Saccharomyces cerevisiae S288C: one gene and its partners. Changing the gene in region 3 together with the main gene of any one other region gives a genetic interaction. Each region holds a gene or a part of one and is shown on either strand. Other genes may lie near its edges.

Region 1 (3,149 bases), on a different chromosome or scaffold from region 3:
ACAACAGGTTCAAAGGCAGGATGAAAAATTACGCCAAATAGGCAGGTTTTCAATATTAAAGAGTTAAGTATGCAAAATTTACAAAAAGTTAATGGTCAAAGTATAACTATAAAAATATAATAAAACAATAAACAATAACAACTCTCAGAATTGCAAAGCTTGACCCTTTTGCTTCTTTTCACCACCCAATTCGAAGTGCTTACATCTCTTCAAGGTTAATTGGGCTCTAGTCTTACATTTGACACATTCCAATCTCAAAACAACCTTCTTGGTAGTCTTAGCTTTCTTGTGGAAAACAGGCTTGGTTTGACCACCGAAACCAGATTGTTTACGGTCATAACGTCTCTTACCTTGAGCGAACAAGGAAGCCTTACCAGCTTTGTATTGAGTAACCTTGTGTTGAGTGTGCTTACGACAGGTCTTACCCTTACAGTAGGTCTTTCTGGTCTTTGGGACGTTAACTGGTTCAAAATGATATCACAGCAAATTTAGCATGATAGTTGATTGTTAGTAATTGATCTTAAAAAAAAAGTAATTTGACTGCACATGTAATTAGTTGTATCTTTTTTCTGTAATGGGGAAACGGCTAAATTCACAAATATCTAATGAGTATTACTAATGATATCCTCAATATATTTTCTAACCAGAGTTCTTATTAAAAGGGCCAATAAAAGTATCATTCAGGTGTTCAGTACTTTAGGAAATGATGAAAATATTTAACTAGCTCAAAAGTAAATGAAGTTTAATAACTATTAGTTTCTTGCTTGACATGGATTTGCCCTACGATTCAGGATATTTTAAAAAGTTCTTTAGCATTCTAGTAGTACCTGTGTACTAATTACACTCTCACGCCCTAATGGAGATAAATAACATGGTTTGTCTATTCCTAATCGTCCACATACCCATTATTACTGATTGTTTTTTTGCTTAATCTCCTTCAATTTACGTTAAAACAGTGAAAATACCACATCAATTAAGATATACATTGTCAACAATATGGATGTATCTCTGAGTTCATTTCGACGAATAATTTTACCTCTCTTGGTGGAAAGCCTTCCCTCCCCCTGGCGGAACCCATCATCCCGTCGAACAACTAAACCGTCAGCGTTGCCGCACCGACGGACGTCTCTCTAGAGGTCGTCTCTCCGTCTGAACATACGCACTGTTGGTACGATGCAGCGGCAGTCTGGCCGCATTTTTGACAGCGATCTTTTTTTGTATCAAGACTTCTTCCAATGTCAGGATTTATTTTCATGATGTATGGGTGTATCGGATGTTCGGATGTCACTGTCTTTTATTTTGAAGTTTGTGACAGAGAATGCTATGGAAAATAATATGTAGCAACATAGCCAACTAATTGCCATTGCATTAAATTTTGGCAGTACTATTTAAAATGCCATGTTTTATGTTGTTACAGTAAGTTATTGACATTCTTCTGGTGTTGCCCGCTTCGCTTTCTTAAAACGGTTAAATATTGAAAAAGTTTCACAAGACACGAAATCAAAAAGGATCCATTTTGGTATAAAAATAGCATATTGCATAACTTAACTAAAAAGATTAAAAAAAGTCAAAGCTACACTGGCATACTTTGAACTGTTTTTTCAAAGCTGTCTCCACGTGGAAAGTTTATTTCATCAAAACTATTATCAAAAATTGTGGTTTTGTTAATACAAAAGCTGATATATATATAATATGGCATTTAGTGATTTTGCTGCCATATGCTCAAAGACCCCGTTGCCATTATGTTCGGTAATAAAGTCTAAAACCCATCTAATACTTTCGAACTCAACAATTATACATGATTTTGATCCTTTAAATTTGAATGTCGGTGTACTGCCACGCTGTTATGCTCGGTCGATTGATCTTGCCAATACAGTCATCTTTGATGTCGGGAACGCATTCATAAATATTGGTGCTCTAGGTGTCATTTTAATCATACTTTATAACATAAGACAGAAGTATACTGCTATTGGCAGGTCTGAATATCTCTACTTTTTCCAACTAACATTGCTATTGATAATATTTACCTTGGTGGTAGACTGTGGTGTATCTCCCCCCGGCTCTGGGTCATATCCATACTTCGTGGCTATACAAATAGGACTGGCGGGTGCATGTTGCTGGGCCTTATTGATAATCGGGTTTTTAGGTTTCAATTTATGGGAAGATGGGACTACAAAGTCCATGCTGTTGGTCCGTGGAACGTCCATGCTAGGATTCATAGCCAATTTTTTAGCCTCTATTTTAACCTTCAAAGCATGGATCACCGACCATAAAGTAGCAACAATGAACGCTTCAGGGATGATTGTCGTCGTTTACATAATAAACGCCATTTTCTTATTCGTTTTCGTTATTTGTCAATTACTGGTATCCCTATTGGTAGTTCGAAACTTATGGGTCACAGGAGCTATCTTTTTGGGGCTATTTTTCTTTGTAGCAGGCCAGGTATTGGTTTATGCCTTCTCTACACAAATTTGTGAAGGGTTCAAGCACTACTTAGATGGCCTCTTTTTTGGAAGCATCTGTAATGTGTTCACATTAATGATGGTTTACAAGACTTGGGATATGACTACCGACGACGACTTGGAATTTGGTGTAAGTGTTAGCAAGGACGGTGACGTGGTGTATGATAATGGATTTATGTGAAATGCTTCTTTTTTCTATTACCATATATAGAAAATAGGTGTATACTATTAGTTTAATGTAATAAGCAGGACTATGACAAACCAAAGAGTGAAAGTAGCCGTTTCCACGTTTTAACGGCTTGTGTACACTTTGACAGTCAATCAGCGTAGTGACTTCTTTTATCAGCGGAAACAACCATATCCATAAAAGAAACGTGATGGTCGTTCCCGTAGTTTATTAAGTAAGATGACAAATTATCCTTCTTTAGTCAATTGAAAACAAAACTTCTTAATCTGTTTCCAATGTTTTAAAGTCGCTCATATGTTCATGACTACTTTTCCATGAGAGGGTTCTACGAAAAGCATCATCTTATTTTCGCAACGCTGCGGGTTTAGGCCTTTCCGCTGGTCTCTTTTCTGTTTACAGTTCTGCCCGAATGTAAACAAATACTTTGCGAAAAGTAAATAATGTATTCTGAAAAAAAAAAAGAGAACTGTGAACAATGCTTGATAGTTGTAGGAATATCT
Region 2 (5,622 bases), on a different chromosome or scaffold from region 3:
GTTCTAATTTACTAGGCAAATGCATATTACTTCCCAGTTACGAAAACTCAGATCTGCTGATTTGTTGCTTGTTTACATCATCATTTGGAGGTTCAAGTCATGGAGAAAAGCAAAGTATTTTGAATTATACAAAACTTGCTTTAGATAAATTGAAGACCTTTAGAGAAGCAAAAGACAAAACTCGAACAAGTGAAGATTCAATCGGTGACTATTTAAACGGCCACATCAAATACCCAATAGGGGAATATAAATTGGAAATGCCACAGATAAATAGTGGCATATTCGGAGTCCCTTGGAAAGAGACAGAACGCGTGTTAGAAGAATTTAGTGGCGACATGAGTTTTACAGTATATCAGCTGTAATTGCCTTAGCCACGTAATATGTGCCTTTAAAGATAGAGAAATATTTATTTATTAAGTTTTAGTTCTAAGGTGTGTTAAAATACCTCTCAAATAAATAAGTTACACACAACCATATATCAACTTGTAAGTATCACAGTAAAAATATTTTCATACTGTCTATGCAACGAAGGAGTCACTTTCCTCCTTCCGATTGAGAATATCTTCCCTTTCAAATTCCCTCCATGTCCTCATTTTAATCTTTGAGTGATCAAATTCACCTTCATTCTCGTCTTGTGCCTTTTTATTACCTCCCGCAATAGTTCTCGTATCACCCCATGAGAAGTCATCAAATTTCCAGTACGCATATGAAGGTAGTACGAAATTCCAAATAGGCAAAGCACAAATATATACGCACATCCACCATAGGTACGACCATCTCGTAGCAGTTATAACAACAATTAAGCCGGGCAGACCAAGAATAATTGCCAGTAAAACTAAAGTGATTACGGGTGTAGGTTTTGATACAATGGCAAAAATAATGACATAAATAGTAAAGCAAATGGCTAACGGCAGTACCATAGTACCAATCAATTCAATACCAATCACAAATTGCATGGAAAAACAGAAAGTGCCACATAAGTCTCTGATTAGAACTAATTCAAAAAGGTTATGTACCGTAGAATTAATCCATCTTCGACGCTGGGAAAGTAAGACTTTGAATTTATCAGGGGCAATAGTTTTACAAGCAGCTTTTGGAACAAATACTTGCTTTCTCTTAGGGAAAGTCTTTAACATTAATGAAGATAAAAATCTATCTTCACCAAGTAATAATAAGTTCTTCTTATGCAAAGTGTTTGTAACATTATCCGAATATCTTTCAACAATATCTGGATTTGCCAATACAGGTACCCAATAACCATCTGAACCTTTAGGAGATTTTATACGATACATTGAGAAACATCCCGGCAAACAAGTTACCGAACCGAAGACAGATTCAAAAGCTTTAGCCTGATGATGCGAAATATAGTACTCAAACACTTGAATTGCAGTTACCCAAGATTGTGCCTTATTAGCGATCTTGGTCTCACCACAAAGACCCATAATCAAAGGATCTTTAACCATTTCAGCGACCATATGAGTTAAAGCATCGGGAAAGACTTTAGTATCAGCATCAACCATAAGTACCGTTTCGTAGAAGTCTGCCATTAGCCCCGTAATCTGCCAAATATTTTTTAAAAGCTGAAATTCCAATTGAGTCATTCTTTCATCAAATGTTATTTTTTCTAAAAAGGACATCAGAATAATTTGAGAATCACGCTTACCTCTGTTACCGGGTTTGGCGGCCCCCTGCTCTGCAGGAGTACCGCACTTCACAATTGTAATGATTGGGACACGTTGTTGATTTTCTGGTGGAATTGTAGAATCGTCATATTTGTAAAAACCCGCATATATCTTGGCCATATTGTGTCTTTTAGAGCCTGATGCCACTGCCACATAGGAGTAAGGTTTAACTTCATCAGGTGGGGTGACAAAGTCGTCCATCATTCCTAACGCTATCTCTGGAGTAGTCTTATCGTTGCCCGAGCCCTTAATTAAACCATCACAAACAACCATCAGTAGTTTATGGGAATTTGGATAATCTGTGGTAGAAAGAGAGTCTAAAGTGGTTCTTAAACCCTCTTCATCCTCAGAATAACAAGTAACAAAACAGATAGTATGAATCAATGGGAACCCGTATGGCATAAAATCCAGTGGTGGTTGTTGAACGATATCGGGATGTATAATCGTCGAATCAAGACTCTGAATCAGCGATGATCCTGGTACAGGAGAGGAAGTCGCTTTATTCCAAAACATCGAGGATGTAGGCAACAAAGTAGATGGATTACGGGAATGTACAGCTTTGTTTTCATTCGAGAGTTTCCAAGCATTTTGAGTGGTCATTGTTGTCATTCCTCTGTATGAACCAGAAGATTGTAGTGAACTGCTCATGGAGGTGTCTAGATCTATCACAGATTCGTTAAATTGAAACATTTTGGAGCTGTGTTTTTTCAGCAAGTCAAAGGTTGAAGCACGCTTGTGTCCCAACGACTTTTTTGAGTATTTCTTTGGCCTCAAATGAGGATCTACTTCCTTTAGAGGAGCTTTTGTTTGAATATTATTAGACCAATCCTCGATATCGTTTGTGTGTTTATCCATTGTTTTATTGTCCACGATATATGCACCTTGTTTCCTAGCTACAGTCCAACGGAAGTAGCAGGCAATTATGAATTTAATTATCACCACTGAAAGAATAAATACCAGAGAAACATACAAAACGACATCAGAGGCAATACAACCGACGGTTTTGGAGTCTACTTCACCAACTTTAATAATTTCGCTCAAACATCTCGCAATTTTTCTTTCATGCCCATTTGACAAAACCAACGAAAGATCATAACCTTGTAAATTTGAAGTCTTCAAGTCATCGAATACAACGGGATAGTCAACGTCATCCTTTTCCAACCAATCAAGAAGATCTAAATCCAAAACGTCGCCATTATAAACAATCAAGTTTCTAGAAGAGTTCTTTATACCATCCCAAGTGAAGTAAACATCAGCTTTCGACTTTAAACCGTAAAATGCGTCCCTATCTTCTTTAGACGTATGACAGTTCCATCCTGCGTAATTTTCAACTGTGAAGTTTGGCTTCGAAGAGCCATCTTGATTCTTTAACTTACAAGGAAAATACCATGCTAAATTATTATCATCGTCATGGGGAATGGAAGAATTACTCTTTGGAGTTATAAGGTTATGACAGTTACCATTCACATTTTGAAACAAGAACGAAGCATCTTTACCAGCATCTGACCAGGGCCCATAAAGGGTGTCTGAATCTACTTCAACGTCTTGTATACCGGAACGCGAGGAAGTATCCAATTCATAAGCCTTACCGTTAATTACGACAAATTCTGTTGATACTTCGTTGTTTTTCAAACGTAGTTTCGAACTACTACAAACGGTTTTAGTGAAACCAAAAGTCAGGAAAGCCACAATCGCACCAATGTACAAGATGACAGAAATTAAAGCAACCTTTTCTCTCCACGCCATTTGTCTTTCCTTCTTTGGCATCCCGCAGAAAGCAAGAATTGGAGCAGGTGCCCAAAACGTAATGAAATAACAGTACATCTGCCAAAATGACAATGTATCATTCGTTTCCTTTCTTAATGGTTTGATAGACTTATTTATGGGCTGCGTGGAGCTTTCTTCGAAATTGTCCACATCACCATCTTTATCAAATTCGTCTTCCGCAACACCTTCATCACTTATTTTAACGGAAGCCTTCTTGTCAGTAGTATTCATATCTTGTAAAAGATAGCTATCCGTTTCGCGGCCACTAAATTTGCTTCTCACTGAGCCTTTGGAGCGCAGGGAGCCACTCCGACGAGTTGCATTTGGGTTTACACCGGTACTTGATGGTAAAACATCCAGGTGATTCATCTGCTCCTGCGTTTTCTGCGCATAATAAAAATGTGGATTATCAGGATTGTTCAGTCGGCTTCTTTCGGGCCGCACTAAAGAGCCTTGTCTATGAGGTGCTCCTGAGCCGACACTGTGTCTTGACCTAAGTAGAGACTCTTCATCTTGATTAAGGTTCAGATAGTAGTCATCAGGATCATCTCCATTCAAGCCGGTCATTCTAATTTCTTTCCTGCGGATAGTCTAAACAGGACCTTTGAAGAAAATGGGACCTACACCAAAAATACTCGAGAACTTTGCAAATCGGTAAACGTTTATAACCGTCTACCAATGTGATTCTTCTAGCAGGATTTACTACAAGTCGAAATGTTGGTACTGAATGTAAATCTGAAACACAGGAAAGAATATTTTTGATTTCTATTTTTATGCTCTTATTTTCATTTTTGATTTTTTTTTTCGAGGTCTGCGCCAGCGCCAATAACGCGTTTTATCCAAATAGGCAGCCAAAGAGGGTCACCTATGCAGGTGCTGAATGCAATACAACTGCGGGCTAACTGTCCATCGACGCTATTGAATATGCTTCAAGAAATATCCAGTCTCATGCACATGTCAAATATGTGGGTGAGGGCGCAAATACAACGCACGATTATATATACATTTGTGGCTACGTAGTACGTGCGGAGATAGGCAGGTATTTGTTCAAGGATGTAAATAAGAACTACAATGCTTAGTTCTCGAATCCTAGAATGTGAGTAAATCTCACAAGCACCGCTTCTATAAATTTGTCTAGGGTAATTTGTAATCTTTTCCCATGCGGATTCTCTTAAATACGGTACAGCCGTCGCTGCTGCGGTGTGATTCTGGTTTCATAGATCTGGAAAAAGAAAGCGAGACACAATACAAGAGCTTTGTGACACAGCGTACGGAGAGAATAAGATAAAGAACAGTTCCTGGCGTTTTTAATTGAACTTTTGTACTCGTCTCTTTATTCTCACGAATTTTTTTACCGCCGTTTTCATTTCCATTGCAAAGGAGGGAAAATATAAATGTTTTTATAGAGGCAGTATATCTTTAATTTCATAGCATATGCAGTTTAGAAAAAAGACGTAAATTCGTTGCCCTAGTCACGCTGGTTACATAAATTGGTCGTTGAATTGACTTTTAAGACATCCAGTTGGTGTGTTTGCTCCAAATAGTGCTGACGCATCTTGCCAATTCTCGTCAATTTAGCACGGAATGCTTGTTACTTATTCGATAACGCTTTTACCTTGATTGCATGTAGTCACTATCCTCAAACCTTTTCTAAGGTTGCCCTATTGGCGACAGAAAAGCAGGACGAGAAATCTAAATAACCAACGTGTGGTTTATTAACTATGACGGTTGGTTTGCTTGCCGCCCCAAGTTATAGAAGACTGCCCTTCATCCCGGGGTAGCTATCATAGAATCTGTCGATAGTTACAATTTTGGGTGGGGTGTTTTCAAAAATGGACGGATATGCCGGTCTTTGAAACTTCGATGATGTAGCCTATTGTTTTAATTTTCTGCTTGATCCTTTCGCTCTTTTTAGGGATAAAAAAGAAAACCTAACAAAGTATGAATTTCGAGAAGTCCCATCGATAGTAGTCAAACAATTGCTAAAGAGGGCTACGGATCGTCTACAATACCTTCGTAAAACAGCAGCTTACAGGATCTTTTATAATATCACCATAGAAAGGGGAATTTGGGAAGCGAGAGTAAAATGTTGAATAGTTCAAGAAAATATGCTTGTCGTTCCCTATTCAGACAAGCGAACGTCTCAATAAAAGGACTCTTTTATAATGGAGGC
Region 3 (2,614 bases):
GGAGTGGTAGATGGGCCATGGTTGTTGAAAACGGTATCGTTACTTACGCTGCCAAGGAAACCAACCCAGGTACCGATGTGACCGTTTCCTCAGTCGAAAGTGTCTTGGCTCATTTGTAGATGCTATGTAATAGACAATAAAACCATGTTTATATAAAAAAAATTCAAAATAGAAAACGATTCTGTACAAGGAGTATTTTTTTTTTGTTCTAGTGTGTTTATATTATCCTTGGCTAAGAGGCACTGCGTATACTTCAAGGTACCCCTGTGTTTTGAAAAAAAACAACAGTAAAATAGGAACTCCGCGAGGTTCAGGAACCTGAAACAAAATCAATAAAAACATTATATGCGTTTCGAACAAAATTAAAGAAAAAGAATAAATATAGATTAAAAAAAAAAAGAAGAAATTAAAAGAATTTCTACTAAATCCCAATTGTTATATATTTGTTAAATGCCAAAAAAGTTTATAAAAAATTTAGAATGTATAAATAATAATAAACTAAGTTTACAACAACAAAGCAGCGGCACCAGCCAACAAAGCACCAGCAGCTGGCAAAGCCTTAGCAGCAGCACCAGTGTAAGAGGTGACAGAGTGAGTTGGAGCAGCAGAGGTGGTGTTCTTTGGAGCTTCAGTAGAGGTAACTGGAGCAGCAGTAGAAGTACCGTTCTTTGGGGCTTCAGTGGTCAATGGGCACCAGGTGGTGTATTGAGTGATAACGTCATCGACGGTGACGGTAGCGGTGGAAACCAAAGCTGGGGAGACAGTTTCAGAACAGACGTGGTCTTCACAAGAAGTGATGGTGACCAAAGTGGTAGATTCTTGGCTGACAGTAGCAGTGGTAACGTTAGCAGCGGCAGAAGCGACAGCGGCGACAGCGGCGATAGAAGCGACAGTAGAAAATTGCATTATTGATATAGTGTTTAAGCGAATGACAGAAGATTAATTTCTTGGTATGTTAGGAAAGAATAAAGGAGAATAAGAATAATTAGAACAATGTAGGATGGAAAGAAAGATTATCAAGCATGCCGACTTTATATACTTGAACGGAGGCAAAGGATGCAAAATTTTCTCACATTTCTTTCTGCCGTTATGTTGGAAGTAAGACTCCCATTATCGCAATACTGCAACACGAATATGCAAAATTTGCTGAGTTATCGCAGATAGTTGTTGCAAAGATAGCGGCGTAGGTGGCCGCGAAATGGGGAATTCCAAAACAAACGGTTTTTTTACTCCTGAGAAATACTTGTACGGGATAATCCAGGGCCTACCACCCACGCTTCGAGGATTGGCTTTTATTTTTTTTTTTTTGGTGGCGTTTTATTTCTTTCCCGCTTTCTGGGACTTGTGCGGAGTTTTGAGAGGGGCGCGCGGCAAAGGATTCCCAAAACGGAAATCAGACGCCAATAGCCAGCACTCAAAGCAGTTCTGGACCCATTCCGATTTTCCCATTTGGTTCTTGCGCGTGCTGATTCCGACACGCGCGTCTATAAATAGCATGAAGTATCCGCACACCGCAGCGTTAGTGAGGTGAGGGTGGCAGCAAGCTAATTCCCGCATCTGGAATCTGAACTGCCCCTTTTGGACTAACCGTGTGGTTCATGGGTGGGCGAAGTGCGCAACCTCGAAGGTTTTCTTTTGCGTGTCGGATTTTACATCCGGCGGTAGCGCATGATGCCATGGCTGGCTCCAGATACATCCTCAGGGCACCAGCATCTATAATTAGATTGGCGCAACATGGCTGGCTGCACTGCTGTCTTCACTTCTTTCTTTTTCCGGCAATGAATGATGTATGTTTTGTGGCAAAAGGGTCCGCATTGTACCTGTTTACAGTTGAGATTATCGTTTTTGGTAGCCCTTCATTACGGCATAACGTATTAAGTTTCTTTTATTTTGCTTTGCCCTGGTTTAAAAGACAATGTCGATTAAAAGTTAATTTTAATCGATTGAAGGAAATAAGAGGAATAGCGCAAGTTGTTAGGAAAGCGTTCTTTATCTCCAAGACTTTGCCCTGTATATAATTAAACACCTCAAAGCGCTTCGTCATGGATGGAGATTATTCGGCATTTTGACATACAGGAGTGCCACATGCGAAAGCGGAGTGGGCGTATTCTCTGGTTACCCTACATGGTCTGGCGGCGTTATTATACGGGAGGATCTTCGAAGGGAAGGAAGGAAAAAAAAAAAGAAAAGGCCAACGAAAAGCAAATATTATCTATCGTCGAAATTATCATACTATCTTACAATAAGAGTAGTAATTACTTTCTTGTTTGTATAGTGGAAGAGGAATTTGCGATAATAATAGCAAAAGTAACTAATCTCTAACAAGAAACCTTATTTATTTTCTCTTTCTTCTATATTGGTAAATACTAGACTCGAAAAAAAGGAACAAAGGGAAAACAGGGAAAACTACAACTATCGTATATAATAATGACCACTAACGAGGAATTCATTAGGACACAGATATTCGGTACAGTTTTCGAGATCACAAATAGATACAATGATTTAAACCCCGTTGGGATGGGGGCATTTGGGTTGGTTTGCTCAGCCACGGACACTTTGACATCTCAGCCAGTTGCCATTAAGAAAATCATGAAACCTTTTTCCACTGCAGTGC
Region 4 (5,933 bases), on a different chromosome or scaffold from region 3:
ATAAATGGACTAAGGATCTGGGTTGTTGGTCGTTATATAAATAATAAGCTTATACCCCTTCCTTTGGACAAGTTTTTTCCCTCATAATTACGTCTATATTTTATAAATATCATTGTAGTATTCGCATTGTTTAAGTGGTTACCATTTGAAACGACTCATACAGACAAGCGGTTACAGATGAAGCTTTCTGAAGGCACAGATCAGAAGTATTTTAATGTCGGTTGTCTATTAGTGGAACCAAAGTGACTACACACCTCCTCTGTCTGGAAGAAATAAATTCTTAGGGTCGACTCCACCATTTCAACTTTAGTATAATATGACAATAAAACATTATTGGGACTGAGAACGATTATATTAAAATTAGTAAAATACATACATAACTACTTATAAAAAAAAAAAGAGAAATTTGCCATTTTCACGAGTATAAGCACAGATTGTACGAAACTATTTCATATAGCTTGTTTTAGTTATTATCCTATAAAATCTTAAAATACATTAATCTAGAATCCAAACGGATTTGATGCAGTAGCATTGAATATGTTGGCTTGCCTTGATTGTTGAGGTCCATTACCAAACCCAAATCCAGTAGGTTGGTTCTGTAATGCTTGTTGTTGTGGTTGTTGCATAGCACCCCCAGTGTTAAAAGTGTTCATCATCTGTGGTTGTTGCATAATTCCATCGGTGTTGAATGTGTTCATCATCTGTGGTTGTTGCATAGCACCACCAGTATTGAAAGTAGTCATCATTTGGAGCTCTTGCATAACACCACCAGTATTGAAGGTATTCATCGTTTGTGGTTGCTGTTGTTGAAGAACGCCCCCTGTACTTAAAGTATTCATGGCTCCACCAGTGAACTGGTTCTGGTTTAATGGCGCAATACCTCCGGTTTTTTGTAAAGTCAAACCGAATTGGGATTGCGGCCGGAACCCGCCAGTGTTTTGAGCTTGAGAGCTGAACGAAGTCTGGGGAATCATGGCGCCTCCAGTATTAAATGTATTCAAAGCACCACCAGTTCTCTGCAAAGGCATCATTGCTCCCCCTGTAACTTGTGGTAAAGCATTGAAGGACGTTTGAGGCATCATTGCTCCTCCAGTAATTTGTGGTACAGCATTGAAGGATGTTTGAGGCATCATGGCACTCCCTGTATTTTGAGGTTGGGTCATCATTGCACCACCTGTTAATTGCTGTGAAACGCCAAATGATGTTTGTGGAATCATAGTGCCGCCTGTTCTTTGTACAGTTGGCATTGAGACACCAGTATTAGCTGAAATTAATCCATTAGCAGTTTTTTGGACAGGTAATATTGAACCTGTTGGAAGTTGTTGTTGCCCCTGAACATTGAATGAAGTTTGCGGGAATTGCGCACCTCCTGTGGTGGCAATTGGTATTAGGCCACCTCCAGTTTTTTGCAGAGGTAAGACGGTAGCTGCTGCGCCGAACGTAGTTTGTGGCATCATTGCGCCGCCAGTGTTAGAGATAGGAATTAACCCATTTCCTGTCTTTTGAACAGGTAGGATACCACCAGTAACTTGCGATTGCATACCAAAAGTTGTTTGTGGTACAACGAAGCCGCCGGTTCTTTGCATAGGCAGCATATCGCCCCCAGTAATCATTGGCATCATCACAAAGCCAGTAGATAAGGGTAAGATATTGTTGCCACCGGTTTTGAATGGATCCAATGGAGCGGGAGCAGATGAAACCGGAGCAGATGAAACCGGAGCAGCAGGAACAGTGGTGCCGCCAGTTTTCACGGGTTCCAAATCTTTTAGGTTTGGTTCAGGTGTCGAGGCAGCTGCCTTTTTAGGTTCTAAAGGTTGCAAGTCTAATAAATCCTGCATGGAACCAGTAAATTCTGATTTCTTAGAGAGTAAATTAGATTCAGACTTAGAAGCCGGTTTAACAGTCCAAGCATCATCTGTCTCAGCTGATGTGGAAGGAGCTGTTTGAGCAGGACTTGTTGTTTGTGGCAACAATTGCTGAGGCAGTGAGGTTTCCGGACTTGTAGCAACGTTCAATGAACCATCAGGTTGTGAAAACATATTTCCAGTGGCATTTGTAGGAATTGATGCAATATTTTCTCTTCCAAATTTCTTGTCAAGATGTTTCATTACTCTAACAATATCACCTTCGCGCAGACCCAAGGTTCTTAACATTGAGTTATTGATGTCAGGCATCATGTCTTCAGTAAGCTGTTCTCTATCAAAATTTATTGTATATCTTTGACAATTGCTTACATCAACGCCGCAATTCAAGAAAAATTCGAACCAATCATATTTGTTACTGGAGTTGTTGTTATTGCTGCTTTCGGCTGGTGGTACGGACGTCGTATTTGGAACGGAGGTAGTAGAGGTTGGTCTTGGTGGTTTTATTGGAGGCAATTCCTTTTCTTGCAACCTTGATCTTTCTTCATCTAGGAGTTCTCTGGCTTTTTTCAATTCGTATAATTCACGCTCTTTCAATCTCCTATCGCGTTCTTTTTCCTCCTGCTCCTTCAATCTCCTTCTTCTTTCTCTTTCAGAGTCTCTTGAATCAGTGCCACGGGAACTAGACCCATCATTCGCCTTAAATTTCTCTAAGGAGAACCCAGTAATTTTTTCCACATACGCTAAATCTTCATTGGATAGTTTATCAGCGGCGACAGCAATCTTGACACCATTAGCCTTGTGCAAGTGGATTTTCCCCTTAGCACATCCAATGAATTCTGCATCCACTTTGAAAGTACCACTTCTATCAACCCATAGACGCGATTTTTTTGGATTGGGGAAATCTTTGGTCGCCGAAGAGTTTTTTTTGTGAGAGGACAATGAACTTTTTCTTGACCTTTTACCGGCAGCACTACCTACAACATCGTTTTGTAGTTCATCATCTTTCCAACTGGCATTGGCATTGGATTTAGATCTTGATCTAGATCTCGACCTAGATGGAGATTTGGTGAAGTTTTTCTTGATAGACTTGATGATACCGCTTGCTGTAGATTCAGTATGTTTTTTGTCACGAACAGGCTCAATAAACTGTGCAGGAACGAGACCGCTTTTCCCTGAATCAACCAGTTGGCACATCCACCAGTCCTTAGATTTTTTATCATCTAAAATGTAGACTTTATCGCCTGATTTTATGGTTAATTCGTCCTGTGATTCAGCCATGAAGTCATATTGAACAATACCTCTCTTTTTGGATTTGGAAGCCATTTCGACTTCTCTCAACCCAGGATCACGGGAAGCACCTTTATATTCACCAATAATGTTCATGATCTCTTCACATGTGGTGGTATTACCAGTGTGTAATTCAAGGCTTCTATATGGATCAACAAATTCCAAGAACATGTGTTTCTTTTCGTTATCATAAGAGACCAATTTATCAATTGACCACTCATGAGGAGTCCCCTTTTGGGGTATGAAGTTTATCTTGTTGTTACCGATTGATAGCTTGGCCTTCTTCTTTTTCCTTCCCTCGATTTCGGTAACGTTCCAAGAGTGATACTCTGTATTGTATTCGTGATTTCCAACGTTGTTGCTGTTGCTGTTGTAATAGTAATCATCCTCTTCATCGTCATTATCGTTATCGCTGTATGATAGTCTTGTACGAGATCGAACAGCCGCAGCGGTGGCATCAGTAGTTTCGGTAGTAGCCGTTGGTCTTGCAGGCATGGCAGGAGGAGGGCCCTCTTCATCCTCATCTGGAGCTTGGTCTTCTTTACTTTGCATCATACGAGCTCTATCATTGTGTTGAGGAGGTGGTAAAAAGTTGGTGGGTAGTACGGCAGCAGAAGCAGGAGCGGCTGCAGGAGTAGCTGCAGGAGCTTCAGCGGCAGCGGGAGCCTGTTCCTGCTTGGAAGTGGACCCATTCTCTGGTTCGACGTAATTGCCTGGAATGAAGCCGAATTCATTGGAAACGGTAGACTTAACCAACAGCCAATCAGCATCTTTATCATCGAATACATCAAAAACGTCATTTTCATGAAACGTCAATTCTTCATCAGCATTTTGCACCTGTTCATAATCATAAATGGCTCTTACCTTCTTCAAAACAGGAGCTTCTTCAATGTAAGTGGAGGGCACTAGACCCACCGGTTCTTCGCTATCGGAACCAATGACTCTTTTCTTTACTGTCCACCAATCGTCAATGTCTGACTTCTGTAAGAGGTACAACAGATCGTCTTCTTGGATGGCCAGTTCTTCTGGTGTCTGCGGCTCATAGGCATAGACGGCCCTATAGATGCCCAGAAACACAGTCATACTCTAGCTCTTTTGTATATAACACACTCTGTCGCCTTGGCTATGTTACACTATCCCTTCTTTTAGGATTGCAATAGATATACATAGTATATATGCGCTAAATATTCGTTCTGTTTTCGTCTGATGTATCTCGATTTCGCATGAGTGGAAGGAAGCCCCTTTTAGGAATCGTATAGTCACTTTCTACGAAGCAACATTCTACCTCTATCAATTACATGGTTTAATCTACGCAGGCATGTTCTCTAAGTTGAGACCGCCTATGGGAACCTATAAATCGTGATTGACACCGTTTGCATATTATCACTTTTCTTTTCCTTTTAGCCTCGCTATTCCTGGGGCTCTCTATGTGTGATTGGAAGGGTAGAGACAATTGTCCTGCGCCGGCAAGAAAAACATCGTGTGTCTCTAGAGCAGCTTTGCATTCTAATGTGCGGTGGAAATGGTGCGAAAAGTCGACACTTGACAGGGCTTCCAACTGCTGGCGTGGCACATAACTGCCCAGCAGTGAATGGCCTACTTCATACTCCACCTGTGCCGCATCGGCGAGCGACACTTTACCGCCTAGGTAACCATGTACAGCTACTCTTTTGGGCTTGGATACCTTCGCTTTACTATTCTCACTGCCCTCTATGCCCTTGTCGGTAGCATGAGATTGTTGCGTAAGCTGTTGAAGCTCAGTCGCACTGAACACTACCTGGGATGACTTTTCCAGCGCTGAAAGCCCTGCGAGTACGTCATAGTATCCCATATTACTTCCACTCATTCTCAGCTATTCCTTGTTAACACCGTGCTCTGCTGCTTTCAGGTAAAGCCATTATTTCCACGACAACTGCATTTCACTTTTCATTTTCTTCCAGAACAACAGGCGCTGCCCTTGTTTCCGCGGAGCTGCCTCCTCTGCCGCTCGGACTTTCCGCGGAATAATAAATGAACTATCACAGTGAGTCTTAGAATGCAAATATGTAGATACTGTTATAGAATCTCATTAATGTATTTATGTATTTCCTGTGTTTGTGTCTTCAGGAGCCTTCCAAAGCAACCATAGGTCTTAGGCGACAACTGCATCAGCAGTTTTATTAATTTTTTCTTATTGCGTGACCGCAATGAAAGTGAAGAAATCAACTAGATCAAAAGTTTCGACAGCATGTGTCAATTGCAGAAAAAGGAAAATCAAATGCACAGGTAAATATCCATGTACCAACTGCATTTCTTACGATTGTACGTGTGTATTCCTAAAAAAACATTTACCGCAGAAGGAGGATAGTTCCCAGTCTTTGCCTACTACAGCTGTTGCTCCACCCTCTTCCCACGCCAATGTAGAGGCTTCAGCAGATGTACAGCATCTGGACACTGCGATTAAGCTAGATAATCAATATTACTTCAAACTGATGAACGACCTGATACAGACTCCAGTCTCTCCGAGTGCGACGCATGCTCCTGATACTTCCAATAATCCTACTAATGATAATAATATTCTCTTTAAAGATGATTCCAAATATCAAAATCAACTGGTTACGTATCAAAATATTCTGACAAATTTGTACGCTCTGCCGCCTTGTGATGACACTCAGCTCTTGATTGATAAAACGAAGTCGCAGTTGAATAACCTGATTAACAGTTGGAATCCCGAAATAAACTACCCCAAGCTTTCCAGTTTCTCTCCTCGCCCACAAAGATCGATAGAAACGTATCTTTTAA

What was found.
Region 1: mutations in CCW12 (region 3) and CHS7 together harm fitness more than expected from each alone (negative genetic interaction), as found in Saccharomyces cerevisiae (7 studies listed by BioGRID, with this or other methods).
Region 2: mutations in CCW12 (region 3) and CHS3 impair growth when combined (synthetic growth defect), as found in Saccharomyces cerevisiae (5 studies listed by BioGRID, with this or other methods).
Region 4: mutations in CCW12 (region 3) and SLA1 together harm fitness more than expected from each alone (negative genetic interaction), as found in Saccharomyces cerevisiae (4 studies listed by BioGRID, with this or other methods).

Annotation. Positions count from the first base shown.
Region 1 is NC_001140.6:381,846-384,994, forward strand, and holds CHS7 (Chs7p), read left to right. Parts: upstream 1-1,692; coding exon 1,693-2,643; downstream 2,644-3,149. Other genes in the region: 60S ribosomal protein eL42 RPL42B, read right to left, coding at 145-461, 903-906. UniProt on the Saccharomyces cerevisiae protein: Chaperone required for the export of the chitin synthase CHS3 from the endoplasmic reticulum.
Region 2 is NC_001134.8:283,910-289,531, forward strand, and holds CHS3 (chitin synthase CHS3), read right to left. Parts: upstream 4,017-5,622; coding exon 519-4,016; downstream 1-518. Other genes in the region: POA1 (ADP-ribose 1''-phosphate phosphatase), read left to right, coding at 1-362; putative thioredoxin peroxidase SCO2, read left to right, coding at 5,536-5,622. UniProt on the Saccharomyces cerevisiae protein: Polymerizes chitin, a structural polymer of the cell wall and septum, by transferring the sugar moiety of UDP-GlcNAc to the non-reducing end of the growing chitin polymer.
Region 3 is NC_001144.5:369,193-371,806, forward strand, and holds CCW12 (Ccw12p), read right to left. Parts: upstream 907-2,614; coding exon 505-906; downstream 1-504. Other genes in the region: thioredoxin peroxidase AHP1, read left to right, coding at 1-119; YLR111W (uncharacterized protein), read left to right, coding at 1,199-1,531; YLR112W (uncharacterized protein), read left to right, coding at 1,599-2,018; mitogen-activated protein kinase HOG1, read left to right, coding at 2,428-2,614. UniProt on the Saccharomyces cerevisiae protein: Component of the cell wall. May play a role in the formation of a tightly packed outer mannan layer, which protects the inner glucan.
Region 4 is NC_001134.8:212,132-218,064, forward strand, and holds SLA1 (cytoskeletal protein-binding protein SLA1), read right to left. Parts: upstream 4,236-5,933; coding exon 501-4,235; downstream 1-500. Other genes in the region: HIR1 (Hir1p), read left to right, coding at 1-44; LDB7 (Ldb7p), read right to left, coding at 4,456-4,998; drug-responsive transcription factor PDR3, read left to right, coding at 5,339-5,933. UniProt on the Saccharomyces cerevisiae protein: Component of the PAN1 actin cytoskeleton-regulatory complex required for the internalization of endosomes during actin-coupled endocytosis. The complex links the site of endocytosis to the cell membrane-associated actin cytoskeleton.